Oreochromis niloticus: one gene and its partners. The protein of the gene in region 1 interacts with the protein of each later gene in a pairwise test. Links are inferred from orthologs where the notes say so. Each region holds a gene or a part of one and is shown in the gene's direction. Other genes may lie near its edges.

What was found.
Region 2: the proteins of cchcr1 (region 1) and stx11a interact in binary tests that used the Homo sapiens proteins (3 or more experiments, as listed by UniProt). The link is inferred for Oreochromis niloticus from reciprocal best matches to the Homo sapiens genes CCHCR1 and STX11.
Region 3: the proteins of cchcr1 (region 1) and dtnbb interact in binary tests that used the Homo sapiens proteins (3 or more experiments, as listed by UniProt). The link is inferred for Oreochromis niloticus from reciprocal best matches to the Homo sapiens genes CCHCR1 and DTNB.

Annotation. Positions count from the first base shown.
Region 1 is NC_031975.2:10,912,519-10,922,350, reverse strand, and holds the start of cchcr1 (coiled-coil alpha-helical rod protein 1), read left to right. Parts: upstream 1-3,818; 5' UTR 3,819-4,096; coding exon 4,097-4,166; intron 4,167-4,426; coding exon 4,427-4,715; intron 4,716-4,798; coding exon 4,799-4,966; intron 4,967-5,089; coding exon 5,090-5,207; intron 5,208-5,440; coding exon 5,441-5,635; intron 5,636-5,842; coding exon 5,843-6,006; intron 6,007-6,112; coding exon 6,113-6,227; intron 6,228-6,403; coding exon 6,404-6,514; intron 6,515-6,647; coding exon 6,648-6,668; intron 6,669-7,698; coding exon 7,699-7,842; intron 7,843-7,942; coding exon 7,943-8,053; intron 8,054-8,330; coding exon 8,331-8,437; intron 8,438-8,553; coding exon 8,554-8,666; intron 8,667-8,755; coding exon 8,756-8,828; intron 8,829-9,423; coding exon 9,424-9,542; intron 9,543-9,653; coding exon 9,654-9,832. UniProt on the Homo sapiens protein: May be a regulator of keratinocyte proliferation or differentiation.
Region 2 is NC_031983.2:20,445,205-20,456,113, forward strand, and holds the start of stx11a (syntaxin-11a), read left to right. Parts: upstream 1-6,216; 5' UTR 6,217-6,499; intron 6,500-7,658; 5' UTR 7,659-7,663; coding exon 7,664-8,545; 3' UTR 8,546-10,909. Other genes in the region: syntaxin-11-like, read left to right, coding at 4,067-4,918. UniProt on the Homo sapiens protein: SNARE that acts to regulate protein transport between late endosomes and the trans-Golgi network.
Region 3 is NC_031983.2:18,630,560-18,640,439, reverse strand, and holds the start of dtnbb (dystrobrevin, beta b), read left to right. Parts: upstream 1-5,187; 5' UTR 5,188-5,406; intron 5,407-7,634; 5' UTR 7,635-7,680; intron 7,681-9,633; 5' UTR 9,634-9,634; coding exon 9,635-9,701; intron 9,702-9,880. Other genes in the region: putative Polycomb group protein ASXL2, read left to right, coding at 15-1,808.

The DNA of each region.
Region 1 (9,832 bases):
CGCGCTCCATCTCGAGATTTCCTCCATACTATGCCCGTCAGTTACATAAAACAATATGTTTCGTGCGTGTGTGTGAGTGTGAGTGGAATATTTCTCCGGTTTCGGTATCAAACGCGCAGATCTTCACTCTTATCTCCTGCTTCGCACAGTCTGTGTGCTTTGCGCATTCACGACGCCAAGGTCAGGAGCGCCAACGGTTTTAATGGAGCGCCCACCATAGAGATCTCTCTACGGCGCCCACTGCCAGCGCGTTACTAGGCAACCACCGGGATACGCCGGTGCATTAAATTCACCATCCAAAAAACCCGACTGAATCCCAATTTAGAAACCATTAACTAAGCACCTTAACCTCGGACTGCACTCATGGGCGCACACGTTTCGTGCAGAGGTAAAACCCATCTACGACTGACCAAATCAAAAAGTAAAGTGAGCAGGCCTGCACGGAGAGAGAGAGAGAGAGAGAGAGAGAGATCAGACACATTTGCATTGGCAAAAGCCTTTTTAGCAAATTGTGACAACAACGGCAAAATAGAAAATTTTGCAAACCACCCTCCAGTGTTATCCCATGCTTTGCAGCACATGTTAGACCTGATCACCCCTCGTAGCAGAGTCATTAAAAAAATCTTATTCGTACTAGATCTACACTTTTTAAACAATCAGACTGAATATGCAAAAAACAAACAAACCCCCCCCCCAAAAAAGAAAAAAAGACCCACTATAGTTAAATGCTGTGAGTCAAAATGACCACAGGTGCTAGGAAACTAGTCTATGACAGGTAAGGTGGAAAAATATATCTTCCAAAAAACCCAGATCATTCCAGTAATTGTTTTTTGTTTTTCTCTAGCTTGCTGACTTTCTGTTTAAGCACCTGTATGTGGGGAATTGGGCTTATGCTTTTGTTGCATTCAGTGGTTAAACTAAATCTAAAAATATGAACATCACACTAGAATCTGTCCCAACGATACAGATGAGTTATGAGGCAAAGTCTGGGCAGTTGCTGACAGGGCAGACATATTCCCCCACATATCCTTTTTTTTTTTTTTTTTTTTTTTAATAATGCCCAGTGGTCACAGCTATGATGCACAGCTGAGGGATCATTTCTAGACTTCTTGGAGAGAGATGCTGCCCAGTGTAGTGTGCTTCAAGCTGGGTTGCAAATGAAAGCTTTTTAAAGAAATGAAAATATTTTGCATATATGTTGGTTCCCATGCAGGGAACAATACCTGTTTATTACAACGAGTTTCAAATTCATCTGACCACATGAGCAGAGTACTATTGGTTATCAAAGGACAAAAACATTGTAAATCTAACAGTCGCCATTTATTCAATTTTAGCGTTATTTGCCTAACTCAGTCAAAAAAAGCCAGAAATAAATCTACCAGGTCATTTCTTAGTGACCTCTCTAGCCTGAAGTCATCCTACAGCTGGCCTGATAGACCCACATCTTCTTTTTAATCAGTGTTGCCTGACCCTGTGGTTCCAGGTCTGGGTCACACACTCATCTGTCAGCTCCTGCGTAAGATTTGTAAGGCTGCCAGATGGGTTAGGAATGGTCCTGCTTAAGTTGCTTTCAGAAAAGGCAGAGAAATGCTGACCTGACAGTATCTGTATGTACACAGCTGGCAATGCCCTTGTGGTAAGAAAAACAGGTCACTGTCACTGAAGCAGACAGACACATCCACCTGGGAGGGTAAAAGTATGAAATGCCCTGACTAATGAGGAACCAGTTTTTCACAAATGGAGATCTGAGCATTTTAACCAAAAATTTGGGTCGGTCAGTTTAAAATCTAAAATACTGGGAAAATTATAGACCAGTATGGGATTCATGTGACACTCTGATATAATAAAAACAAACATGGTTATCTGAATGATCCATATGAACAACGGCTGAATTCAAACTGAAGAGCGAGGGCTCTAATCAGAAAAGCAAGTCTGCAGAGGTTGGAGAGTTGGCTCAGTGCTGTGGTTGAAATGGGGTTCTCTGTAGGTTCTGCTTGTTCTACAGTTTACCTAACAGAACTGAAGAGTGAACAAAAAGCAGACCTCTTCACCATTGCTTCAAGAGCCCTGCTAGAGCCAAACAAGGAACATTTTAGTCTGGACCCAGATCAATTTGCTGCCTGCCTTTATCAAAATGTCCTTTATAGCTTTCATGTACTACGTGTTTGATGCTCTGCAGGTGGTCAATGCTCACCTTGATTATAGAAACAAAGCTTACATACTAATTCTCTCTCTCCCTTTTGCTTTTTGATAAAGGTGAGTATTGTCTTTCTTTTTTGATTCCCTTTGCCCTTCTCAATCCATCTTCCCCTCTGCGATGTTCCTCAGGACCTATGCTGCAGTGCCCGCCTTGTGGTAAGAAGATACAATATCGGCATGTCCAAACAATGCACATCACTCCTGCTGGACTCCCCTATCCACCCCTTCACCACATTAAGGATATTATACAAGATGAACACTATCATGTTGTACTGACATTCCCTGTCTTTCTCGGTGATGTACCATATCATCTTGCATTTATTTGTGATCATTTATGGAAATGAATCAACCTAAAAGGTCTCTGTGTTGCTCAAAAATGCCATAAATAGATGATATAAAACTTTAATGAACCCCAGGGGGAAAGTGGGTCATAGCAGCAACAGAAAACAGGATATACTGTAGGAAACAGCAAATACAAATGTTTGCTGCAGACACCCGGGGAAAATAATACAACGGGATACGTGAAATATGCTGGTTATCATGACTGTTAGATAGATAATATTAGACAGGATTTTATCTGGAGGTGGCCACATGTGTACAGTTTGTGGATTTAAATCACAAATGTTGTGTGTGCAAAATGTGCATCACTGGAGGAAAGTAACTCATGAGTAATCTACAAAAATTTGCAAGTGCTTCATCTGAATTATATAAGGATACTAATGATTTTACAGTTGTGGGTAAAATATTTATAGACGCCCCTCAACCCCCAAAAATTCTGTTACGTAACCAAATGATCACCAATTGCTATTCAGACCTGCACTTATGAACCTGCTCAGAGTGCCCTTTTCTGCAAGGCCGGCTATATTATGCAGAAATGATGTGGCTGTCAGACACCCCTGGGTGTTCTTGAGGTGAGGGAGTCCCAGGCAAAGAAGGAATGTTGTAATTTTAGGTTATCACCTCATTAAGTGCATTTACATGAGACCCTTTACCACTAATTATCTAAATGATATCCCTTTACATCTAGATAATGCCTGAATATAAATGGCTCACGTAACCACCTCCAAAAGAATGGAATGACACAGACTAATGATTTATTTAACTTATAAATATTTCTCCTATAATAAATATGATAATGTGTGTTTCTTATTGTTGAAACTTGTGGTTTCTGCACAAAGGGACAGGAAAGCTCATATATCATATTGTTTTCATAATTTTTACATTTACTATGTTTTTCTAACTAGTGTCTGTTTTCATCTAAATAAAATATTTTCGAATTTAAATTTGCCCAGAAGGACAGTTAATTTAGTCCTCAGTGCCCCCTCTTCTCAACATATGCTACCCATCACAGAATACCTTCTGTGCTCCACCCACAGATGGTGCTATCATTTCAGGATTACGCCCTGAATTTGGTCTATCAGGAGAGCTCTTCCAGTAGACGCTGCAAACGCTGCACTGAAACGCATACAAACAGGCGGCAATGCAGGGTTACGATTTAGGGGATATTTAAAGGCAGTTTACGTGAAATAAGAACTCCTGCGAGACTATAATTAGGGAAATGAAAACCCAAATACATTTTTACGCTCCTTCCAATTTCCCATGATGCACTTTGGCGTTTCAGTATGTAACAGTTATGCTTAAATAAACCATTTAATTTGTTGAATTTCATATGCATAGATATATGATACATCGAAACTTTAACATGTGGGTTATTTGAACGGAAAATAACGACTGATACGACCAAAAATTGCCCAAACCGAGAGCTCTGAATGTTGCTGTTGTACCCGTAACTAAGGCAACGGTGAAGAATGACGTGACTCGCGGGAGAACAAACGCTAAACGCACCACAGCAGTCGTGTACTGTTTCCTTCCTGTGTGGTGGCAATAGTTATTCAACATGGAGAGACAAACTTTAGGGAAGGAGAGGCTGATAGTGCCCACTGATTTCACCTCACCAGCACTTCCGAGTAAGTTGCTCCTAAATTCTTGTAAAGGTTGAGCTAAATAAACTGTTAATTAGCAAATGTTAGCTTACAGTGCAGCCCACTTGGCGCTTACATTAACTCATGTTTAACAAGTAAAAGTGATTTTATTCTTCAGGAAGCTGCCATGTTTATCTTTAGTGAACTTAGCATAACAAAGGCTTGTTTGCGAACATGGGGAACCTTATATTGGATTAGAGTAGCTAATGCATGCAAACACATAGACACTGTTTTATTTTATGAAGGGGAGACTCCGGAGGACCTCATACCGCCATCGCATTTTGCATCAAGTGCCCATTCTGCTGGAACAAACAGATGTGTTCAAATGCCGGCGACACAGCCACCCATCTCCTGGATAAACCAAGGCATGATATCAGTACCATCATCAGGGGAACCAAGTCCTGCCAATCCATGGCTTGCCATCAATCAGGCCCAACAGGAAATCTTGGAGCTGAGGAAGGAAAATCAGAGGATCTTGATGCTACAAGGAGACAGCATAAGGACCCCTGATTATCGTTCAGATTGTAGAGCCAGGTATATCCACTACATGTTTTATATGGTCTGTCACTTGGGTGGCAATATGGACATATTAATGTGGTCTCTTTCCTTTTATGCAGATCAAAAGACAGAGGAGATAATTGGTCTCGATGGGAATCAGAGTGGCGACTGGAGGCAGAAAAGCACAAGGCTGAAGCAGAGAGGTTAAAGGGGCAGGTGGAGGCACTAAAGGAGATTGCAGAAAGATGCAGGGAAGAGGTCAGAGACAAAGACAACACCCTTAGCAGGTAAGAGATGTGCTTGTGTCATTATGTGACATCTCCGCACATTTAGTATGTAACCTCACATTATGGAGGTCAGCAAATAATGGTTTTGAACAAGCTTAACTTGGAATAACCTTTGCACAACAGACACAGCCATGAGATGGAAGCAATACATACGGATCTATCCAAGGCTAAGTCTGAACTCAGCCAAATCAGAGAGGAGCTCAGTTTCTGCAGCGCACAGAAGGAAAAAATAAGCTCACAGGTAATGATGTTTACTGACAAAACATTTCATTTCGACACTCTTGTAGACATACATCACCTGAGAGTTACTGGCATTTTCTAACTTATTTTGGCAGTTTGCAGTTAAATTTGTTTTTGTACAGTTTTGTGATCCCAATAAAACCTTTTAGTCACCTTTAATTTAACACGTTTCACAATAATAAGGTTAATAAAGTCTGCTTTTTCTGTTTGTAATATGTCTGTTTTTTCTCACAGCTTGAAAGACTGAAAGCAGAGTCTGATGAGGAAATTACAAGGCTGAGGAGAGATGCTGAAAGGAGCAAAGAAGAATCCCGGGAGCTTGCTTTGAAGGTTGAAATGGGCAGGTTGCAGGCTGAAGAGGAAGCCAAACAACAGACTCTCAGACTATTAGAGCAACTAGAGGAATTTCAGAACAACAAGGAGGTGGAGGTGTGTTTAACTGATCATAAACATTGTACTTGGGTGACCTCCTTTAGGATTAAGGGCCTTAATGCAACAACCACTAAGTATCTCTAAGCAGAACTCTGAGCAGTTCCTTTCACTCTGACTTTGCAAGTAATGCGAGAATGTGTAATTGAAGATGAATAAGTCATTATGTCCCTATTTGTCTGTGTCTTAAACTTTCCTAATTTTCAGCTGCAACAGTTGAATGCATCCCATCATGCAGAGTTGGATGCAGCACAAAAAACAAATGGTGAACTACAGGACCGACTTCAGTCAGTGACCTCAGAACTGCTGCAGCTAAAGAACACTCTGATGGAAGTATCTACTGAGAGAAATGGACTAAAAGAACATTTAAGGTGCTTCATTCAATCTAAATCGGAACAGAACTAAAGCATTTAAAGCACTCTGTAGTCACTGTTTTGTGTGTGTGTGGTGGGGGGCATGTTGTTGTTTATTTTTCAGCCAAATGGGACAAGCTTTTGAGACACAGTCTGCTACATTGCAAAGCCTCAGAAATTACATCGGCCAGCTTGCACCAGAGAAAGGAGAGAGGGAACGATTAAATGAAGCTGTTGAGGTAGAGGCAATATAAACAGTATTGATCGTAATGAGCATACTGCAAAGTAACTGCATGGGACTTTCAAATGTTCTTTTCACTAGGGTAAAGGAAGAACAGTAAAATATGAATGAGTTAATGTACAAATTATATAATTAACTCTAATTGTGTGTAATTTAATCTTGTCCATTTTGCAGAGGCTGAACAAAGAGAAAGCTGCTCTTCAGACAACTGCAGAGCTTTTGACAGTCAGGCTTAACTCTGTGAATGAGATACTCGCCCTCCAAGAAGAGAAAATGGTGAAAAAGGTGAGTGGTTTTTTTCTTTCTTTCTAAATTTACATAGCAAAACATGATACAAAACTGTGTTTAAAACATCTGGTGATCAGCAGCAGTCCAATGTGAAACCAGCAGATGCCTATGATTTTGTGTTTTCTCTAAGGATGTTTGCGGACCACGTAAGGTAAGAAATGTCAAACTGAATATACATCACAGACCACATTGAGTAAGCTGGACTAGTGAAACACACCTTTCTTTCTGTGTATATACATTTAACTACACATGTAATATCTGAGATATCCTAATGAGAAGAAAGGGCCATTTTTGTACATAATAAAGAAATGCTGCTGTAGTAGATTAAAGAAATCTGTTAGCACAACTCTTTGGGTTTAAATTGAAAGAAATAAAAGTGTAAAATTACAGAGAATTACACTTTTTTATCGGTCTTAAGTTAACTCACTTGGGTGCTCACTTCACATATGCGTATACTGAGTAGCGCTGCAGGAGACTGAGATATGATAACAGTTGGTAGAGATAGGTAATTATAGTAAACCGCTTAGTTTGTTTTTGGAGGCTACGTCCTCTGTGATGCTCTGTTATTACACAGTACTTTGGAAAGGTTTAGCCTAGTTTAGATGTTGAGATTCTTACGTGTCATGGAATATCATCTGGAAGGGGTTTGGTCAGTCCCAGATTATTTACCTTGCTGTATGTGACAGCAGCTTCAAACATGCAGTCAGATTCCTATATCATGATTGGCACGACCTCCTAAAAGAGATGGTATGGTATGGCCTGGCCTGGCCCTTACGGAGCCATTTCTCAACATCACCGAGTCAGTCTGGCATTATATGAAGAGACATGAGCAACTGAAAGAGCCTAGATCCACAGAAGGTCTTCAGTACACAAATGCATTTAGAAAATTGGTGCTGTTTTGGATGCAAATTATTATTATTTTTCATTGGGCTCTTTGTAAAGTTGACTGATATAAAAACTACTATATTGTCCATTGATAAACATTGTCAGTTTACCTTTAGTACCCAGATCCTTTGTGCAGTATTACATTGTGGGAAAGAGAGAAGAAAACTCCTCATTTCAAGATGTAGTGCTTTAGAAAACATCAAGGCTAATTTGAAAACAATTATGCATGCTCATGTGGTGTGTGCACTGAAGTGTATGTGTGTATTTGTGTCTCCCATATGTGTGTGTTTCCACAGACATCGATGGATCCACTTGTGAAGAAAGGATCCGAAGGCCTTCAAGTGCTTCAGCTGTGGAGAGAGAAAGTGTTCAAGTTGTGTGTCCAGCTTCGCTCAAAGGACATCGAGATAAGAGGAGAAAAGGAAAAACTGATTTCAAAAGTATGAAAACGGCTATTATTTTCCTATACCACACAGTACAGGTAATTCCAGCGTATTTAAAACTGTGTTCAATGTGGGACTGCAATGATGTGTGTTTTAGGTCAGATTTGCAGAGCAGCAGCTGCAGCAGGAGCAGCACAGAGCTAGCGTGCTCCAACACAGCCTACATGACAGGATCGCTGAGCTGGACCTCGAGAGGGTGGAAAAGGATGTTAGTACCAGGGCAACTGATGTGATTTACATGGCTGTCTGAAATTCTGATGATGCGTAATAAACTTCGGTCTGCCTAGGAAAGTGATAAATGCTCGTACATTTTTTACCACAGCAGATGATGCTGACTGCACCAAAACTTTGGTTCCCAGAGCCATTGAGGTTTAAAGGACAGCACCTGGGGAAAGACAATCTTAAAAACTAAGCACCGCATTAAAAACAGTAAAACAGATCTGTGAAAGATGCTCTGTTATATGTGGGAATGTTTTTCTTTCCAGGCACTGAAACAGGATTTGGCCAGTGTTCACAAGGAAAATGTTCAGTTGAAGTTACAGAGCCAGAAAGCAGAGGCTGAACTTAAAACCTTGACAGAGGCAGTGCAGAGGTAAAAAAATAAATAAATAGCAAAACTGAATTTGAGAGGATAAGGAAAGATGAGGAGACGTATTAGAAAAATAGAAATAGAATTCAAGACAGACATATATTGGCTGTGCCTTACAGATTCTGTCAGGCGTTTGAAAGCAAGGTGGCAGAAGTGGAGGCAGCTAAAGCAAGGCTCAACACTTTTACCCAGAGGCTGACATTTGCTAAAAGACGAGTGGAGACAGTCCAAGGTACAGATGTGTGTGTATATATATATGCTGATGGGTTAACAGCATAGCTAGAAGAACATAAAGAATTTATATCTGGTTTTGTTTTGCAGCTTTGGTCATGAGGAAGGCAGCCCTGCAGAAAGTTGAAAAGGCCTGTAAACAGCCAGATAAGGATGCTGAAAGGTACAGTTTATTTATTTATTTTTCAATGTGGGTGATTCTCTCTTTCACTTTCTTTCTGGATCATAGACATACACAAAATCATATCTGACTGAGGTCACGTGTCTTTTCACTAGGCTCTCCTCATTCTAGGCCAAGAGATAGCCTTTATAAGCGTCTTGTTCTTCCACTCACTTGCTCTTTTGGCTTTCGCATAAAAAGCTCATGTTCTACTATGGCAGCATGTTCTTGCGTTAGTAGACATAGTTGACATGAGATGCTGCTTTCATATGTGGTGAGATGCATGAACAATAAAGGAAATAAAATAAGTGCATGGAGGGAAGGGTTCGGAGTTTTGATTGTATGCTGGTATAGCGTGGCATACTGCATAATGATTTTATGGGACATATATAACAGGAGTCGCTAATGTGGTTGAAATAAGTGTTGTGAATAGCAGGTGTTGCTGTCTTATGCTGTCAGTGTATCTATACAAGATGATTATAATTCATGCAAAAAGTAACTTTCAGGCTGTTTAGCTTACTTTGTTATGCATCATGCAGAGCCTTCTCTACTTCTGCTTGTCTGTTTGCTGTACCATTTTATCTTTGTTGCCCTGCAGCATCAGAAACCTCCAGATAGAGCACAGTTTGGTGTGCGAAGAGAGAGACAGACTCACTAGAGAGCTCAAAAGAACCCCAGTGCTTATCGAGAACGCTCTCGCTGATCTGAAAGAGCAATGTGAGACCCCATACGGATCACAACACCCATTATAGTACATCGTCTGTTTGTCTGGTACATATCCACATTTCTGTAATGCATGTGTCTCTGCGCACTTTTTACCCTTCACAGATGAGAGTAAAGTTAGGCTACAGCAGCAGGAGCTGGAGCAGAGCTGGGTGGAGCTCGAGCAGGCTGTAGCCGGTAGAGAGGAGGCTGAGCAGAACCTGCAGCAGATCCAGGCCCAGCTGCAGGACACTAAGGTCACCCTGGAGAGAGTCCGCTGTGAGCTGCTCAGCCAGCAAGAGCAG
Region 2 (10,909 bases), on another chromosome or scaffold:
GAAAACCGTACAGTAAATTTGGCTGTGGATGACAGGGGGCAGAGTGGAGACGGCCTAGAGTCAGAATCCAGTGAAATATCTGTGTCACCTCGTACAGTTTATATGTAATCTGAGGTCAAAGATGAAGATATTAACAGTACAGTACTGTATATTGGATAAATTTTATTGTTAATTTTCTCTGATTCGTAGAGTAATCTTGGCTGTGGATCACAAGGGGAAAAGTGGAGATGAACCAAAACGGAGTGGATTGTGAAGTTAAATAGTGTCAGGACACAAAAGACTGCGTTTCTAAGGCAGTCGGCATCCATACCGTAATATGCGTAAGAATAGTGCAACCACATTTTAGGTGCGGCTGGCGGGGCGGCTAGCTTGACTGTGACTTCGCAAGTGAGGGCTCACTTGACCGCAGTCTGGCTCTCCGAGTCTCCATAAGACTGCTGAAGAGACTGTTATTCTTACAATAAAGAATACAATTTTAGAAAAATTTCCATAATAATAAATTTGATTTAAAAGCACCTTTCAAGACACCCAAGGACACTTAACAATAGAATAAAACACATAATAGAAGAATGGAAGAATTTTTGTTGGTGCCACCGTCTCCAAACCATAAATCACAGCAGGTCTCACTAGCATCTTGTAAAACTTCCCTTTCACTCTTGTATAGAGATAAATGAAATAAAGTGGTCAATATTTCCCTTACTCAAAGCTGTAGGTGACAGTTAAACTAGAAAAACAAAGTTCGGGTTCTAATTTGAGATCTTCTGACTGAACGGTTTATTTTTGTTGCCACCTAGTGGTCGATCCTTTGGTTTTTTTGCTTTGTTGTGATTTGAATTGACCAACAAATGCATGTGTTTGAATTTGTTTCTTGTCATGGACCACAAAAAAATGAACCAAGTTTCTTAGTCTTTAAGGATTTTCTAGGATTTTGTGTGAAGGTTTAATTCTGGATTCCTGTTTTTGTGTCTTTATCATTCTAATGATGTTGAGCTTTAGCTTTTTAAAATTTGAGTTCTGTTTCCTTTGTGGTTTTTGGAAGTTCTTCTTTTGGGTTTTTTTTAGTTCCCACAGTGATTCCCTTGTATATGTTTCCTCTCCATATTCTTCTACCCTTTCTGTTATCATGTTTAGTGTGAGTATAATGTGTGTAGTATCAGCTGTCTTCTGCTTAAATTTAACAGTTTGCTTTTTAAATTTCCTTCCCCCTTTGTGAAGTAAAGGAGGTTGTGATTGTGTTTCACCTGTGTCTTTTTCCTCTACTGTCTGTTATTCCCCAGTTAGTCCACAGTCTATATATAGTCCACTCTTCCTCTTTCTCCTGTCTTTCTTTAATTGTCCTTCCTGTGCTGTGTTAGAGTCATCTTTTTGGCCTTTGTTTAGCCTTTTTTTATTCCTTTTTTTTAGTCAACACCCAGTTTCTCTTTATCTACTACATTTGTCTCCTCTCTCCATTAGCCCATGACACCAGGTCTTAACAAGGCGAGTGAGAAATGTGCTAAAAACAGAAACGTGAAAGAGAAACACTACTGCTGGTTGTGGTTTAGTGGGGAATTTTTAACCTTACATGGTTTCATTTATGCTTTTGAGTTAAGAGTAAAGTGTCAGTTATGCTTATACAGCTATATGGCACACGTTGGCCTTCAAAAAAAATCCCCCATGAGAAACATCCCAGTGACTCAGAAACTCAGTAGGCTGATGGAAATTACTGCTCATGTACATGCAGCCTATGCACCGAATGATCTATCCAGCTTGAGTTTCTTTTTCTGGCTGCATGACTGAAAATCACTTGATGGTTGGTGGCTTCACACTTAGATTGTGTTTCATGAAACAGGAAAGGATGTAGAATTATTAAATAAAGAAGACAAGGCAGTCTTTCTTGCCTTCTTCTTTTTCTTTTTCTTTTTTTTTAGACTTGAGTTTTTATCATATAAGAACATTTTGGTCCCACCCCTCTGGAAGATAAGCTATCTCAAATACTTCCTCTTTATTTTTTTTAACATGTTGTGTGTCCAAAGTCAGTGACCTCTATCCGTGATGTTATCTTATATGTGCTTTGTCAAGGCCTCAGCACAGCCATTTACCCCCTTCATTGCCATTTCTGTTGACAGAAAACAACACCCGAGAACGCTAAAAGTAGTGCAGTAAAGGTAATGATAATAGAGGTGAAATGTAAGCAGGGGTGCTTCATCTTTATGTTAAATCGCTGACAAGTATGGCTTTGTCCTACTGTACGTCACCTCACGTCTCCACGTGACACGAGAGGAATGCAGAAAGTTTTGTTTTTAAAAACCTTTCCTCATAAGCAGGTCTATCAGAGATGATGGTTAACAGTTTTAAAAAATCACTTGCTCTTAAAGCAGACGTCACTCTGCTAACTGGACTGAACTCCTGTTTTCATGATCACCTTTAACTACAGAGGACAAGGAAGTCTGAAACTCATCTACAGCTAACTAAGAACACTACAAGTAAGATATAATAATTATATAATCATAGCGTTATAGGTTTTATATTCTTTAGGTTTGCTCAGGGGGCCTTTTTAGTGCAAATGTTGTCAGCACAGCATCCTGCTACAAGACATTAAACTGTTAGTGAGTTTAAACTGCATCTGATAGAAAGGGAGAATTTTTCTTGATGAACCATCATCATCAAAGAAAAGGGCCAGTACTGGCAAAATCATACACCTATGTCCATGTACTTTACACTGTTAATGTTTACAGAAAGTATTCAAATCCCAAATAAGACTTTTTCAGTGCTCAGAATAATAGATTATGTTTAAATATGTAAAATGTGTATTATCTATTGTAAAAATCATTTAAATCCAACCAGACTTCCTTGTGACTGAGTTCATGTCTGCTTTGTATGACGGTGATCAGTAACATGATTTGCTTGTCTTCTCTTGTTTTTTGTTGAGTTAAGCTTAAAATATTATTATTATTTTTGTTTTTTGGGGGTTGGGCTTTTCAGGAAAGTAGGAAATGAGAGTGTTAAAGTTCCTCAAGTCCAAATAAAACCTGGGCTGCTGCATTCAGCCTTGAGGCTCACGTTTACCTGATCTGCTTGGGACCTAAACCGTCACCAAAGCTTAAAACACTTTAATTCAAAGTTTTAGCACTAACAAAAAAATCCAACAGCTCCTCTGTTTGAGAACTTGTTTGGCAAGTCTTTGACAGACTACATGTCCTAGTGGATCAGGAGAATTCATCTAAGATTACTCGATACTGGAGACGTAGAAAATGTGCCACGCTGCTATGCACTGATTACAAAACCTTTGTGTTTTATTTTGTAAGATGAGCTTAACAGAATAAAAGCTTTACAGTTATTAGCTGGGAAACAGCTTTCTCTTGGTGTTTTTCTGTTTTTTTAAATTGCATTTTTCTTCTTAGCTTGTACAACAGGAAGCATTTATGTCTTCAGCAGGGATGTTACAGTTTGGCCTGTTCGGGGTAAAAAGGTCAGGCAGTGTCAGTCAGTTCAGCAGTTCAGTGGTTTAATTGGTTGTGATCAATTAAACCAAGTTTGAAGAGTAAATATTTCCTTAAATTTCAGTTTGAAATTTTTTATTCATTCACTTTGTAAAAAAAGAATAAAAAATAAAAGCAGCTGCAAAGCTTATTGTATATTTATTTTTAATCAACACAACATGTGTAATTTAAAAAAGGCATTGCACGTACACACAAACCCACAGATGATAATAATCTCCTCAGCTTCGTAATGGTGAGGGTTTTTTTTTTTCACTTTAAGACACTCACTTCTCCCATCGTCATCATTTTGAACTGCTGCAGATTGCTTTTTTCTGAAAAAGCAATCTGCTCACACACACACAGACACACACCTAGCTGTTCAACATAGCTTAATTTCAACTTTAGCAGGCAAAGAGCCAAATACCTCCCTTAGAAGCTGAAGACTGGCCTCAAACATGATTACAAATGAAGAATAAGGTTGCTCATTGCCTCTAAAAGTTGCTAAACACTAAATATATTGTTTGTGATGCTTTTTTTTCAAGTCATGGATAAACCTTTTCTCCCAGATGAGTAAATCTACCTTTTTTTTCTGTTTCCTTCCAGCCATGAGAGACAGACTGGGACACCTGCATCAGGTCCAGACTGACACTGAGGGTTTCAGTACAGTGGAGCTAGATAACCTATCAGATCATGATGCAACAGCTGGAGATAATGAGCTGGATGATGTCCTGAAGGAGGCCCAGCTGATACGTCTGGAAATCCAGCAGATCCAAAATGACATCAGAGATCTGAAGGACGTGAACTATCAGGCTTTGAATAAGACTTCAGACTCCATTGTGATAAAACGGGACTCCAATGCAATCGGGGCAGATATTAAACGCAGAGGAGAAGCTGTGTTGCAGAGGCTGCATATGCTAAATAACCTCAGAGGTGAACTGGAGGTCCAGCGCGGCAGTTTGGACCCCACAGTGCGCGTTGCTCGAACACAGTACCACTGCCTGAGCAACGCTCTGCGGGAGGTGATGTTCAGCTACAATGACACAGAGATGAACCACAGGGAAGCCTGTAAAAAGCAGATCCAGAGACAGATGGAGATAGTGGGCAAGGAGGTTAGCATGGAGGAGCTGGAGGAGATGATGGAGGGTGAAGAACTGACTGTGTTCAGCACCCAGATACAAGGCAAATCTGCCCGGTCTGCCCTCATGCAGATCGAGAGCCGGCACCATGAGCTGCAGGAGCTGGAGAAAAGAATCGAGGGGATCCAGGAACTGTTCCTAGATGTGGCTGTCCTCATGGAGGAGCAGGGCACAGGAGTGGAAAACATCCAGAAAAATGTTCAAAATGTTGATGTGATCATTCTGGAAAGCAGGGTCTATCTGGATAATGCCACTAAATCTGATAAAAACAACCCTTTCAAGAAGATGTTTTGCGGCTGCTTTCCATGTTATCACAATTAGGCCTTATGAAGCTTTTATTGATTCTAAAATATGGTGAAACTTTTAATGAATCACACTGACTTCCAGGATACACCCACAGATGGGTGCACAGTAGATGGCGCCACTAATAGAAAGGTTTGAACATTGATGGTGATGAAGCCAAGTTGGGCTGGTCATCATAAAACAAGACCCACCAAGGTGCTGATTCTCCGTTTCTCTGGGAAGGGCCCCACTTCCTGCAAGCCTGAATTGGATAGGTGCTTAAAAAATAGATGTATAGTGAAATATTTATTTAAGGCATTTATCTGTAAAAGCAAAGTGCAATTGCTAATCTAGAGCTGTTAATATTTAACCTTAAATCTTTACGTTAGGTGATTTTAGATTGTTATTTTAGGTATATTTAGATTTTATGTGATTTTATGTGAAAGTGTAATGTGGCCTTTATTGATAGAAGTATAAAAGTTTAGCCATTAACAGGCTGGTATGACTACGACTCCTGTAACCATTAATGATTTCTTCCTGTAACTGTATGATACCAGTCAAAGGACAGTGTCAATAATCTGGATATCAGCCTATACTAAGTCTGTGTGACTTGTCCTCCTTAAGTAAAATAATGATTTAAAAAAAACCTTGCGTGAGTATCCCTTCTTCATTTCAACTTGATCTTTATCATCTGTAATTTTACATTGCGAGTACTTCAGCTTTTTAAATACTCTGATACATTATCAATTTTTCAACACAGGACTGTTGCAGCTGACTAAATGGAGCAAATGGCCATAGCACTTCTTCTGTCCCTACATATAAGGCAGTTATGAAGGCTTTTTCTTGCCCAACTACCAAAGAAAATTGCTTATTACAGGTTACAAGACTCACAGTGTTGTAACACTCCCCCCCCCCCTCCCCTTTCTCTCAGAAATGTAAATTTTAATACTCGATGTATATTTTTAGCATTGTATTTTTAGACCTGATCATTAAAACCACATGTAAAATATTGGGGTTGCACTTTCCACTTGTGTCAAACACTTGTTCCTGAACACTAAATGTGTTTTATGTTGAGGCTTTGCCCCCGTTTTCAAGGTTAATGTTGAACTTCTATTCGCGTTTTTATATTAGTATAGTAAGCTGAATTTCTTTTTTTGTCCTTCTTGTATTCTTTTCTATCTTCACAGCGAAGAGTTTAAACTAAAATGAAAATGACTGAGATTCGTGGTCGACTCATAAGTCTAAAACGTTTTTAGAACACAAAACCTTTATTGCGCAAATGCCAAATGCGCACGCTTTGACATAAAAACACACCATATAAAATGACTGTGACTGACCTACACCTCCTTCCTGGAATCAAACCCGAGAAGCAGTGAAATGTGTAAAGGGGAAAAGGCGTTATCTTCCGCATTAATACCCGCTGCAGGCTATATGGGCAGTGTAATGTCAGCGTGTCACTTGTAATGTATAGGACGTGATGCAAGACCTCCTTAAAATTCTAAGTTGACTGTTGAAATTTGCATTTATAACCGAGACAAAAAGAGGAAATGACTCTTTCCGTACTCGCCCCTTCTGCTTTTGGGACTTTAATTCTCTAATATCGGTGGAGGACACAAAAAGGTAGGCTGTGTGCACCTTCTGTTGTACTCTCTATGTAGATATAGGCTCAGTAATCGATACATTGGTGTATTGTGTCATATAGGTCGATTTCTATATCAAAAAATTGCTTTCGAGCTATTCTGTTTCCTCCCGATCTCACCTTATCACGGGAGAGGATGCTTTGCGCTTCTCTGATGTGGTTTTTTCATTTTAGTGAGGATTTTTAACATTATCTACATCACAGTACACCTCAGGAATTGATTCGTTTAGCAGGAAATAACCGCGAATGAAGGACAGGAACTTTTAAAATAACTTCTATCTGATGATGATGTGAGTCACACAGCTGAGGAAGTAACTCGCCAATGCTTTTGAGGACTTTTCACTGACCTACAGCCACCTTGCATAGCACATCAAAAACTGTTATCGTTATCTAAAAGTGAGACTTAACATTAGTGCCTTAATATTAATAATAACATATCAAAAGAAGAACTCAGTGTCATACCAGCCCCTTCCTCTCTCTGTTAACAGGAGGATTCAGTGCAATATTGAAAGGAAATTACCAAAGAACAGTAGATTAATACTCATGCTGGTCACATTTATGTGACCCATCTTATTTGCTATTCAATATCCAGTTTCATTCAGTAAGTGACTGGAGATTTTCCATACATTAAAAATAAATAAATAAATCTGGGACTTAACTTGTGTAGCTTTGTGTGATTCACATTTCAGAATAAACCTGTCAGATAAGCCATTTTAAGTCCTCTCTCCTTATGGCCGCCGACCTTTACCCCAATTTTCTTCTGATTAGCTGAAAATAAAAGGCTTGAATACAGATGGGTGGGGCTTCTGTGCTCAAGGCCAGAGACCTGTGTGCCTGAGATGACTATGTTAAGGATATATGTACAAAGTGACGTCATATAGAGCTGAGAGTAGAAACAACAGTCCAAAGCCTGGTTGTTTTCTTACATGTACTAATATCACTATTTGAAACTTTTGCTTTGTTTAATATGAACAGTATACATGTGACAGGAAATAAGATGACGAGGAGCAAAGCCAGCAAAATAAAGTTGTGCTATGAGAATTTTTGATATCAGTTTTTTTTAATGTAGTTCTTCAGAGTAAAGAATGCATTTCCCACAATTCCATTAGAAAGGTGAATAAATGTCTGTGACTCTTGCAGGTAAGATGAAGGACCGACTGACTGAGCTCCAGGCCTTCACGCCTGCAGAGCAGGAGTACAAGCCCACGGAGAACGAGAGACTCACCGGTGAGGATGAGAAGCCTCTGGAGCAACACGCCATCGTGTTTGAGGGTGAGGACATGATGGATGGCATCTACAAGGATGCCCAAGTGATGAGGAAGGAGATCCAGTTGCTCAGAATGGATGTGAAACGTCTGGGGAAGCAGAACACCAGGTTCCTCACATCAGTCAGGAGGATCAGCAGCATCAAGCGGGACTCCAACGCACTGGGACGAGACATCAAGGCCAGAGGGGAGTCCATTTATAAAAAGCTGGAAAAAATGGGGAAGCTGAGCAAGGAGCTGGAGGAAGCCCATGGTGTCACATCAGCTTTGGCTCGCATGGTGCGCTCGCAGTATGTGTCTTTGACCAGCGCCTTCCACAGTGCCATGTCTGAATACAATGAGGCTGAAATGGCGCAAAGGGAGAATTGCAAAACCCGCATCCAGAGGCAAGCAGAGATCATGGGCAAGGAGGTAACCAGGGAGCAGATAGACGAGATGATTGAGACGGGCAAGTGGAATGTCTTCTCGGATAATCTCCTACTGGAAGGGAGGACTGCCAGATCTGCTCTCAACGAGATTGAGAACAGGCACAAGGAGCTGCTGGAGCTGGAGGGCCGCATTAGGGACATTCACGAGCTTTTTTTCCAGATGGCGATGCTGGTGGAGCAGCAGGGTTGCATGCTCGACAACATAGAAGCAAATGTAGGGGCAACACAGGACTATGTAGCCAAAGCTTCAGCGCACATCAAGCAGGCTAAAATATACAAGGAAAGCAATCCATGCAAGAAGCTGTTTTGTTGTTGTTTCCCGTGCTGTAAATGAGGCGCCACCAGTTCCCGCACCCTACCAGAACGTTTGATTCAAATCCGCTTTCCTGCAAATGTTTCTGAATGCTTACATGAAAGCTTTTTGCTGCTCTAGATGTGTCCAGATATCACATTCTGGTATCATTTTCTTTACTGAGTTGATACCAACTAGTCAGAGTGATTCAAACCACATGCACATATGCAAATATATACAGTGCGATAATGGTAGTTACATTTCCTGATTGCTACTGAGAACAGCTTATGCATACACGACTGCTGTAAAAACATCTAAATTATTATTTCATGTGGCTTGCAGCTTTGTTTAGCTTTTAGCTTTGTACAGTTTGGAATGCGGCATGCAATATTTAAGCCCATATAGTATGATTTTATTTATAAATAAATGCCTTGGAGTGGCTATATTTGGACAACTTGAATGTACATCTACAGCTAAGCTCGGAACTGGTACTTGCTATAGACGTGTTTCTTATTGCAACCATTGCTTCACAAGTGTGTAGAAACACTGATCACAGCTCAACCAGCAATTGTGGTTAGCTGGGGAGGCAAGTTAGATTTGTGAGGATTGTGCAACTATATGTTAGCCACCCCCAGCTACAAGCCAAGGCTGTGCTTTTCCTCCACGTGTTGCTTCACATAAAAAAAACACAAAAATATTTGTGTGTCAGCTCCACTTTAGAGAGTCAATGATTTTGTTTACCACTGCCACACAACCAACCTCACCAAAGCCAGTGAAATCTCTTTAACAGGGCAGTTTGCCTGACTTAATGCGGTGTTTGCACAGGTAATGTTACAGGAGAAACAGAACAGAATGGCAAACTAAACAGGTCAGAGGACTTTCTGTTTGCACAGGAGGCCTATCTCACTGCCCTTTGTGATGGCAGTAAAATTCAAAAACCCTTATTTCCCTGTGCCTCTGGGCCAGCCCATCCCTCACTGGGGGAATCCCAGTCATCAGCTGGTAAACTGAGGGTGTTGTGACTCAGACTGCCAAAGGTACTGCTGTGTACCTGTGGGAGTTTTCAGACTTAACTGCCTCTGCTCTGTGTTGAAATGAGTTTCATGGGTTGCAATGATTGCACTTCCTCAGCAGTGCTGTGCGGTTTCTACTGGGGGCATTTACCGACAAGAGCGCGTTTATTTGAACTGTGGCGTCACGCCTCTGGTAGCTGTGCGTGCTGGAGTCACACGGCTTTATCTGATGTGTGCCATGCGCTGATTGTGCACACGCACTCACCAGGATGGCCGAGTGGTTAAGGCGTTGGACTTAAGATCCAATGGACAATAGTCCTCGTGGGTTCGAACCCCACTCCTGGTAAAAATGGAAGTTTTAACCGATGTTTGTAGGAAATGCGTGCAGTCTCATGCACTTCAGGACGACTTTACTCTTCATGGTCAGCCTCTCTGCGCTTAAGCTCCCACAGTAATAATTATCACCTTCCTTCGAGATTGCTGTTGTTTGCCATTGCTTTGTCTGTTTTTTTCTTAGCACGCATGCACTCTGGTTCAGCTAAGAAACTAAGAGAGATTTTGGGTAATTACAAGGGGCACGCCTCACTGCCTCACTATAGATTTGAGAGTTAACAGGTATTTGATTACACAGTGTGGTCCAAATGCAAACAAAACGGCAGTACAGTAGCAAATATTAATATTCAAAAGCCCCTAAAAAAGCAGTAGTTGATGTTTTCTAACAGATTTAGAAATGCTGTAACAAAAGGAGACGTGATTGCAACGTAACATGCACGTGGAGAAACTTTCATCAATGCCAGTGACGCTTTTATTCAAATATTTGAAACGAGGTCAATGATGGGGATTTTTATACTTTATTTTCTCTTAATTCTTATCTTGAATCAAAACCCACCAACAGGGGACCGAAAGCTAAATCACATCCTGGCTCATCATCGCAGTGGAAGATGTTACGTACCAAGAGGCCTATTTATATTTCCTGTGTGGACTGTTTCGCACCCCTGACGGTGAAGGTCTGTTTATGTGGTGCCATCTAGCGGTGAGAAATGGGAACATATAAAACTAAACATAATATTATTTCCAAATGCTGTATTATTGTTTTCGCAGTTTCACAGACACTGTATTAAATCTCTCAAGCCTTTGCTGGCACTAAAAGAAGACAATGTGTCCTATTTATATTCTTCTGCCTTGCAATGGATCAAAACAGAGGAATAAAACACAAAGATGTTATAGCACAGTTTGAAATGCCTTTTGATCCAATCATATGTAGACTAAGTGTGTCTGAAGAGTTTTTATGGAGATGTGTTGGTGCACACCTGATCTAAATATAAGACCCACAGACATACCTCTGATAGATATCGAAAAAGATTAAAAGTCAAAACATTTAAGAACTCAAGAG
Region 3 (9,880 bases), on another chromosome or scaffold:
TTTCCATTTTGCAGATCCCAGTATCACGAATTCTTCCCTTGCCCGTGTCACCTAGCCAGATCTCACCAAGGACTCCCCTCCCAAGCCCACTTAGTAGCCCATGCCGTACTGGTGCTCGCACTTTGGCAGATATCAAAGCCAAAGCTCAGCTTGCCCGAGCACAACGTGCAGCAGCAGCAGCATCATCATCTGCTTCAAAGGGGGCGGTGCCAGGCCCAGGGCCAGGTGGAGGCAGTAGTGAGCAGACACACCACTTATCCAGCCCGACATCCCCACAGGGATCTGCTAGGTTACCAGCCACACAGTTTAGTATATCTTCTCCTTGCCAAGTGGACTCTTTTGGTCCATGTAGCCCAAACCAGTCTCAGAAGTACTTAAGCAAAACTGAAGAAAAACATACAAGTCTTTCTGCTGGTACTGTCAGTACAGGAATCCATAGCGTCCAAAAGAGTTCAAGTGTATCAGCACAACCATCATCGGTGCATGCTTCAAAGGAACAGGAAATCCCATTAACTGCTGGATCAACAACCAGAACCAGCTCCTGCATCCCTGCAAACAACCCGCTGGTCACTCAGCTTCTGCAGGGCAAAGAAGTTCCACTGGAGCAGATCCTCCCAAAACCGCTATCCAAGGTGGAAGTAAAGATGTCAAACTTCTCCTCTGGTAGTATGGGAAAGGCATCACATTCTGCTGAGCACAGGGCTGAGAAGTTCAATACATCAGGCCGAGCTGGTGTTTTCTCAGAAAACACAAAACATCACAGGGAACTTCCTGACAAGGAGACTCAGGAGCAGATCCTACAGGCTCTAATGCAGAGGAAAGTCCAACAAAGTCAACCTTATGGAGGGGGTGTAGGGCCTCAGTCACCTCAGTACAAAGTTCAGCAACTGATGCACGCAGAAGAGCGACAAGATCGATCGAGGATTTCTGTTGGTTTTTTGGGTCGAAGGAGGATGCCAAGGCCTGCCATGACAGGACATTACCTGCTCAATGTCTCCACGTATGGCAGAGGATCAGAGAGCAGGAGACTTCACCTGTCTGCCATTCCAAACACGTCTGTAACCAGCACAAAAAGGGAAACCACAGAAGCAGAGGATGCAGCCAAGGAGGACCAACCAGCCAGGAAAGTTTTTCTGTTTCCTTCTGGGGTCAAAACAGAGCAGCAAAGATGCTCAGTAAGCAAGTCTAATGAACCAGCGGGCTTTCAGCATCACTATAACATAAAGACGGAGCCTGGATCAGAGTATATTGAAGCTGGTGGTGATAACAACAACACCAGCGCAACCACCAAAGACACCAGCCCTTTTTCTCAGTCACACCGAAGGCACCTCGAACTCAATAGTAATCAAGGAAACTCCGAGCCATATCTTACCCACGTGGATCCCAGTCACCAGCGGCCGACTGCCTTTCAATCCCAGAGAACACTCGATAATCAGGAACCCCCGGTAGCATCATGCTACGGTGGCACTATCAGTATGTCCGTACCTCACACTTTGAACCGCAGCACTGCAGGCACCGGCTCTTCCACATCCTCATCAGAAGCTGATGGTGGTGGCATCCACGGGAGCGTTATGTCCTTCTCAGTGACTGTCACCACCATACCTGCTGGTCACTCATTAGACCACGGCAACCAGGGCGAGCCCTCACCTGAACAGTCATTCATTGAGGGCTCCAACATGGAGGACGTCCAGTCTAAATGCTACTGCCGACTGAAGGCAATGATCATGTGCAAGGGGTGTGGCGCTTTTTGCCATGATGACTGCATAGGCCCCTCAAAACTGTGTGTCTCGTGTTTAGTGGTACGATGATATTAAATTAACAGTAACAAAAGAATGGTTAGAGTTGTATTGTCACAGCACAAAGCAGAAGCAAGTGTTTTAGAATCAGTGCATAATAGCCTGAAACGTGTTAAGTCACGCTTTGGAGAAAACGGCTCTAGCATCGGTTCGTTGTGGGAAAGGCAAGGATTTACACTGGATGGTCTTGTTTTTCCACTAACATCTAAGAAAAGTTGTTTTGTGCAATTGTGTCATAGAAATGCCAATCCATTTTCAATCAAATGTTGTCAGATATGTGAGAAATGAAAACTGGCAGTGTTTGCACTTGGCTAGATTAGTGTGATATATTTTTTTAAATATATATATGCGTCTAGTTTTTTGTTTTTTTTTTTCCTTTTTTTTTGAGGAGGGAAAATGAATGTTGCTATTTTTTTAGAACATAATGACTGTTGTGCTTTAGACTGACACTTTTTATTATTGGTCCTAATCATTTATGGTTTAACGGCAAAAAAAAAGAAAAAAAAAAGAAAAAGGGCGCTAATGATAATCATTTGATGTAGAGTACCTCCTATTTGGCATTTATGCACGTGTGGCAGGGAAGTGCAACTTACAGTAACTATTTTATATGAAACTGTACTTTTATTACTGAACACACTCAGATTTAAGAACTAGAAATGAACATGTATAGTTTTAGTAAGAAGATATAGTGTGATTTTTGAATGATACTTTATATAAATCAACCTGACTTGTTTCCAAGGCAAAGCACTTGAAAACCACCTGGATATAAAGTAATAACGGTGTACAGCACTTAAAATCAAACCTAAAGAAAAGAGAATCATATATAATTCCTCTATAATCCTTGTTGGTAAATTAAGATCTTTTCACTTCCAGTGAAGGTCTGAAGTCACTTCCTACTGCATGAATCAGCATTTCCTCCCCAAAAATCAGGTTTGTGGATATGATCTCCCTTGGTGTGGGATTTCTAATGCTTGTGTGTCTGTATAGATAAATCAGCCGTGGCAAACTTAATTTAAACACTCAAGGCGGGGGGGAGAAAATGCTGACAATTTTGTTATTTTGCTGTATATACTTGCTCATGTATGGTATTTGCCTAGATGTAGAAATATTGTTATTTTATTCGTGCTGCACACCTTGCTTGAGCATAACTGGCTCTTTATTTCAAAATGTTTTTCTTTTTTTTCTTTTTTTACTGTGGAATGAAAATAGAGAAGAACAGTGAAATATGCTAAAAACAGGTACAATATGTCACCAATACATCAATAAGTGAGTGTAACACTTCACTTTAACGCGGCCTTTTTCCAGGAAATTAAGAGAGTGATCCTCTATAATACTGTGGTTGGAAGTATTGTAAAAATGATATTTGTCACATATGTATTTAATCAACAGTAATTTGTCTTTGTGATGCACAACACATTTGTGGTGTCAGCACTTGTTATAACCTTTGCAGGCCCGTTATGATGATTTTAACATTAGTGCTTAGTGCGTACTGACTTGTAAAAAGGCCACTGTGTTTGAAGTGTTATCTCCAAACGTTTTGTGTTTTTGCTGGTTACAAATATTGACACATCTACTATATTTTAGAATCTCCTGGAGGTACAAAACATGACCTCTTTTATAGCAATTATTTCCAAGGTAGTATGCCAAAGTCACCTTAAAGAAAACAAAAAATAATCAGAAGTTGTTTTTAAATGTCTGACTAGTTAATCAAAGTAATATATTTTAATTAATATATTTTAATATAAAAGATCTATTTGCTAATTGTTTTTGACAAATCAACAGGGTATTTACTATATTAATATATTGGCTGTCTTTTTTTTTTTTTTAGGCTGGACAGTCCACCGTGCAGAATAATCACTTTTCAAATAGTCCAGGTATCTGATATTCTGTATGGTCCAGGTTTTTTAGTGAATCCATTGGTCTATATTTTTCGATGAAGATGTTGTCTAAAGTGTAGCTTTTACTTGTCTATTTGCATCATCACTTTATGAAAAGATAATGTTTTAATGCACCATTTAAAAAGTCATTCAATTAATATAGTTTTATTTTTATTTGGTGGTTGTGTCTTGTGGAAAGTTGTTTTTGAGGGCTAGAATCTAGCAGGATTTTCACAAGGCATAGAAATTTCACTTATTAATGACATAGTGATGTTTGAGTTAGTGATACAGATGTGTTTTTTTATTCTCATTTTTGACCCCCATTAATTATTTACGTCATATTTGGTTGAATGTGATGTTAGAGTCCTGCTGGACTGGATTGCACTGCAAAAAAATATTAAGAACAATCATTCTCAACCCTAAAGGCAGCTGAAATTTTTGTTAATGATGACTGAAACATGAGTCCAACAGCAGTCCCAATCAATACTAAGGCTAACTGTGTGTGTGCATTTGGAAGAGTAGAGCACATCATATAGAAAATGGCTTGAAGAAGTGGGGGGTGGGAAAGGAGGGGGGGGGGATTGCCACTTTTTTTCCCCTTCTTCTTTTAATGTCATGTTTGACACTAGGTGAATTTCTTTAATGTCAGTGTCATTTTGTCTCCATTTAAAACTCCAGGTGAATGTAATATAGTAATCAGAACTTGTAAACAAAGTGTATTTTATCAAAGTAATAGAATATTATGAATAAATAATAATGGAAAAAGTTTCTTTTTTTTGACTGCTTCTTCATTTTATTGTATTTTTTTTCTTTGGTACTATTTATAATTATATATATATTTTTTAAAAAGCACAATAATATTACGACCCCTCTGTGGGCCAGTCTGACAAAAAATTCTGTTGCTCCAAAGTTTGACATAAAAACCCTGATTACTGTAACTGAGTTATCCCTGACTGTCTTAGAAAAATGTAAAAAAGAAATGTGGTGGGGTGTCTCCTAAAGATCTCTGCCCTTAGGAGGGATACATGGTTTTATACGAGGTCACAGTTGGGGAGGGGGCGAGGGTATTATTTTCATTAAATAGCTTCAAAAAATAAACTATATTTAATTTAATATTTAAAAACATTTGGGGTCCGTATATTATCCAGAAGAGTCCAGTTGTTGAATAAAGAACAGTAACGCTGTCGTATGACGCTGTTGAGCTGCATTATGGGAAATGTAGAGCCCAGGAGTTATGGAGCTTGGTGCTCCAGACAACTAGAAAGTCATGATACTTTTCCGGTCTTTTAGAAACATCACATCTCTTTCTTTCCCCTCTTGATGAAAGTCCCAAACTGCTGCAGTATCCCTTTAAATGAGCCTAAATGAATACTGTGCTTTTTCCTGTTCAGTGTATAATATTGGGGATTATAATTCAGAGTAACAGCGGTATTAATAATAGTAGTGCGCCTTTAACCAGCGTGCGTGCGCACATGCGTAAAGTGTACTAGTAGGTGGTCGCGCATGGCATCTCCGTGCCTGCTTGTATCTACTGTCCTCTGCCGCTGGGTCGCTGACGATGCCGAGTGGAGCGGGGCGCCTCTACGTTTCTGTGTGCGGCTACAACCGCAGTTGCGAAGACTGAAGTCGGATGAGACGGGAGAGGGGCTTGAAAAACGACGATGGATGGTCCGAGCTGTTTCTCATCGCCCGGACAGCTTTAACATCGGGGGAAACGCGTGGATTTATTAAAGGTGAGAAGTGGGGCTGTCCAGCACGGAGGAAATATCCCCCTTATTCGCCCATAGCCACTTACATCCTCCCTATCTGATGCTGCTGCTGCTGCCACCGATGATGATGATGCTCTAAACACAACCTGCGCGATTTTCCTCCGGTAAAGGCCAATTCCCCGCCATGTATCTTACTTGGCTGTGGAGACACCAGTAGGATTTGAAGAAATGCAGAATTGTCATTGTTTGTTAACCAAAAAAATACAAATTAAAAAAAATAAAAAATAAATGTATGGACATCACGACACACATTCCCCACTGCGGAAATAAGGTAAATAGGCGGTTAAATCAGCAACATGGCTGCGTTGATGCTCTGCCGTCGCTTCAGAAGTGATTTTTAAGTGTTGCGGTGCTGCTCGGCGTTAGAATTAAGGCTCGTAGAAAGGGAGAAGTGAATGATATCAGCGGCGGAGAGATACTGCAGTAACCGAGTCCTTATGTTGACTCGCGTCAAAGGATGTTGTCATTACCTTGGAGCTGAAGGTGCGGTTACAGTAAAATGCACCTTTCCAGGCCTGTGATGATTACTACACAGTCTGACTTCACTGCAAGCATCTGACATCCAAATTATTACGAGCCTGTGATTGTTTATGGGGAAATGAATACATGGCACTAGCTAGAAATCCCATTGATCGGGACCGGTGAAACAGTGATCGCACCGACTGTGATCTGAATGTGCTGAATTTATTTTGGCATGAATTATTAAAAACTTCCATCAAATAATCAACTTAACCGTTAAACTGTCATCTGCTTACAGGCTCCGATTACACGTCTGTGAACACGAACTGCCAGTGTGCAACCCTTGTTGCATACTCATGAATTTCAGCAGTTACCTCATAGGGGGAATATTTACAATGAACCATTGTGATATTTTGCTGACATGTCTCTGCTGGGTCTTCCACTGCATAACAAATGTTTTTTTAACCATTTCGCCAAAGGGCAGTCGTGCCTCTTTGACATATCTGCTCTAAAAATGCCCCCAAAGCTTTTTTTTCTCTCTATTTAGAATCACAATTATGATATATAATTGGTCTAACTTTATCCAAACTACCGTGCTGTGCCAGCTCCAAAGACATGTGATGGTGTTTATAAGCACTGAAGCTGGTTTTTGACTATTGCACAGAGTGGTTTATTGCTGCTTGTGAAACGAGTGGTTGTTGTCAAAGAGCTGAAGATGAGTCATTCAGTTGCTCAAAAAATTTAATTATTTGGAAAAAATCTGACATTTCGTTTGGTTTTTCAAGCAAACATCAGATTCCCACAACTGGATTTTCTGCTTTACTCAACCCGCTGTTTAGGAAGTGGGAGGTTTTGCTTGTTAGAAAGCCAGGCTGTAGTTAAAGATATCACCCAAAGCTGTCGTATGGCAAAAATATTGATTGAACATTTGAGAAAAATATCAGCAGATTGTTTGATGTTGAGAATAGTCTTTAGATGTGGCTCTTATTATATTAATATCTATTATTTAAAACTTAATTTCAATGAAACGTCCCCTTTAAAAATCTTTGCTGGCTCTTGTAAGCAGCACGGAGAAATGTTCAAGACAAGGGAGAGGTGCAAGTTTGTGACTGGAAATAGGCTCTGTCATAACACTAGAGATCAGTCTGTGTAAAACAAGGTTGGATAGAAGTGAAAGCAAAATAAAAAGGGGTGGGGTGGGGGGGGCTTCTTGTCTACACACTTCGAACCTTGGCTTCTATGGTTTGCTGATCAGCTGAACGCCCTCAATTCACCATGAGAATAAGTAATCTAAACATGTTTGGGATACTCTTGAGTCCTTGGTCCCAGGGACACCCAGTGCTGATCGCTTATTGGCTATCCCTAATGTGCTCTGTGTCCGTCATCATTAAGTGGTTCCTTTGCAGCTCAGTTGGTGTCATTAGCCCACAGGATGCAGTCACTGCTGAGCGGGATGTCATAGAGAATTATCATTTGCACAGACCACAGGCACTGGAGTGCTCCCTAGCTGGCTCACCAGTATCTCTACAGGAGGCGATGGGAGGGTTTAACAAAAGCACAAAGTGAGAGTTAATAAGTCCTTGAAGGAGGTAGACAAGGGAGGCGTTAATTACTTATTTAAAAGTCTACTACATTTTGTCAGCGTGGAATAGCTCATCTCTCGTAGTAATGGTGGCGTCGAGTCAATATCAAGACACCCTCGCTGACCTTTTTCAATTTGTTTTTCTTTACAGGGTCAACGTTTAGGGCTTCACTTTGTTGACATACAGTGTGCGGCAGGTAAGTACTTTTAAAATCAGTGAGAATCAGTGTGTATATAATATGTCACATGTAAAGCATTTCATATAAGCGCTTGGTAAGCAGGAAAGGATACGGTGTCCATGTGCAAATTGTCTTCACGGTAAATTATTTTTGTCAGATAAGAAAACAAGTCCAAAACAATTGGTGGTAACGGTAAATTAAAATGTGTTTGAGAGAAGTGACACTGTAAAGAAGTGACTGGAATCACAACATTAAAAGCCATGGAGACGCTTTTGAAAAATAGTACAGAGAAAGAAGTGAATGAAGTAATGAAGCCTGTGTTGTTTCAAAGGGGGCTTTTCTTTCCCTGCTGAGCTGAGGAAAAACACACACCAGCAGTGAATCCTGTTTGAAAATGCACAACAGAGTCAACAGTGAAGTTGAATCAGGCAACAACAGTTAAAGATGTTCAATAGGCAGCTCTTCTTTGGTATCAGATAATTATTTGGGGGCATTGAGAAATATTTTTAATCTTATTTACGTGCTCATGAGTTTAGAGCTAAATAGATTTTGTCGTCATATTTTAAAAGATTTGTAGAGAGTGCAATTTCCTTGGCTTCTTGAGATTCTCTTTCGAAGAACTGCAATAGACAGCATACTTTTCTTTAATGCAAAATTTTATTTTCACTAGTAAAGAATTGATAAGATTTAATAATTTTGCCAAACTGCAGTAAGTTACACTTACTCTTTCATTGCTCATACCGAGCCTGATACTGATAGCTTTAGCTTTAGCCATTTTGCCTTTGCTGCCTTTTTAAAATATCCATGTTCAGCTTGGTGAGGGGGATTTAAGTGTCTTATTAAAATTGTTGTTCCATTTTGTGGTGATTTATTTTGGCAAGGTTTGTGTCTTCACCCATTAAGATGCTAGCATATGACTGTTTGCCTATGCCATTGTGGTCTGGCCCATAATAAGCCATATATGTACATGAGGCTGACTGGCCGGTCACCTGTCTGGGCAAAGAACACTGGAAATCAGCTGATTCTGGTCTCTTGTTGGTCAGTTGGCGCATCTCTAGTTATTTCCACTTCCCCCAAGAGTTAGATCACATAAGTGATCTATACCATTCTTACATTGGTAAGCTAGTATAGCCATAAACTGGTAAAACTGGCTATGCAGAAATACTGGAATACTATATATAAATATCCCATATGCAACCCACCCTAAACTACAACATATTCTGGTAATTAGTGAGTTTTAGAAGCTGGAGAGCAAACCATTTCCACATTTTCAAATCTTTATACTAAGCTAAGCTATTTGGCACCTGATTGTAGCTTCATATTAAACCTACAAATGTGAAAGGATTTTTTTTTAATTTTTCCTTAAATACCCAATGAAAGAAGTAACATTATTCTGACAGTGTTAAACTCTTCCTTTTAATAAAAGTCACCGTTCTGACACGGCTATTCTTTTACCAAGCACACTCTCAGTATAATGTATATGTAATTTCTTTTCAGTTTTCTGTCCCTTCTCAGTAATAGCAATAAACAAGTGAAATTTCAAAGCAAAATCATCTATATAGTTGACCAAGGTTATATTGATGACTAACGCTGTCCTTGGTGCAGAGGGGAAATTGCAAACTTTCTGCTGGTACAGCCCTATTCAAGGGTTCATCTGAGTGTTTCAATAATTCATTATAGCCACATAATGGATCACTTACTGTGTGTCCTCTACTGGTAAAAGTAATTTAGACTTGAACACCAGATCTTTTTCTATTCCGTTTTATCCACAAAAATCATCTATCTGTCCTGTATATATCTGCATTTTCTTTAGTTGTATGCAAGACGTGTAGTTCATTCGAATCCTTCTTAGTCCTATCTCTATGACTTTTGACACTGAAATGAGTTGTGTGTTGCATTTATTACCATGCTGCTGTGCAGTAAGCGCAGTAAGAGTAAGTGCTGCATGCACTGGTGTTTGATGTGCCACAGAATGATCGAGGAAGGCAGTAAACGAGGCAAGGCCATGGTGGAGAAGAGACAGCTCTTCATGGAAATGAGTGAGTGGAGTCGACTGTGAGAGATGTCTTTTCGCTATCTCATGTAATGCACAAACATGCATGGTCCCTCACGTGTAATTCCTCCCACACAGAGCGTATCATTGATTAAATAAACATTCAAAAAGCTTTAAGTGATATTTTTACTTTGATATCAGATTACATTTGTCGGGTATAGATGA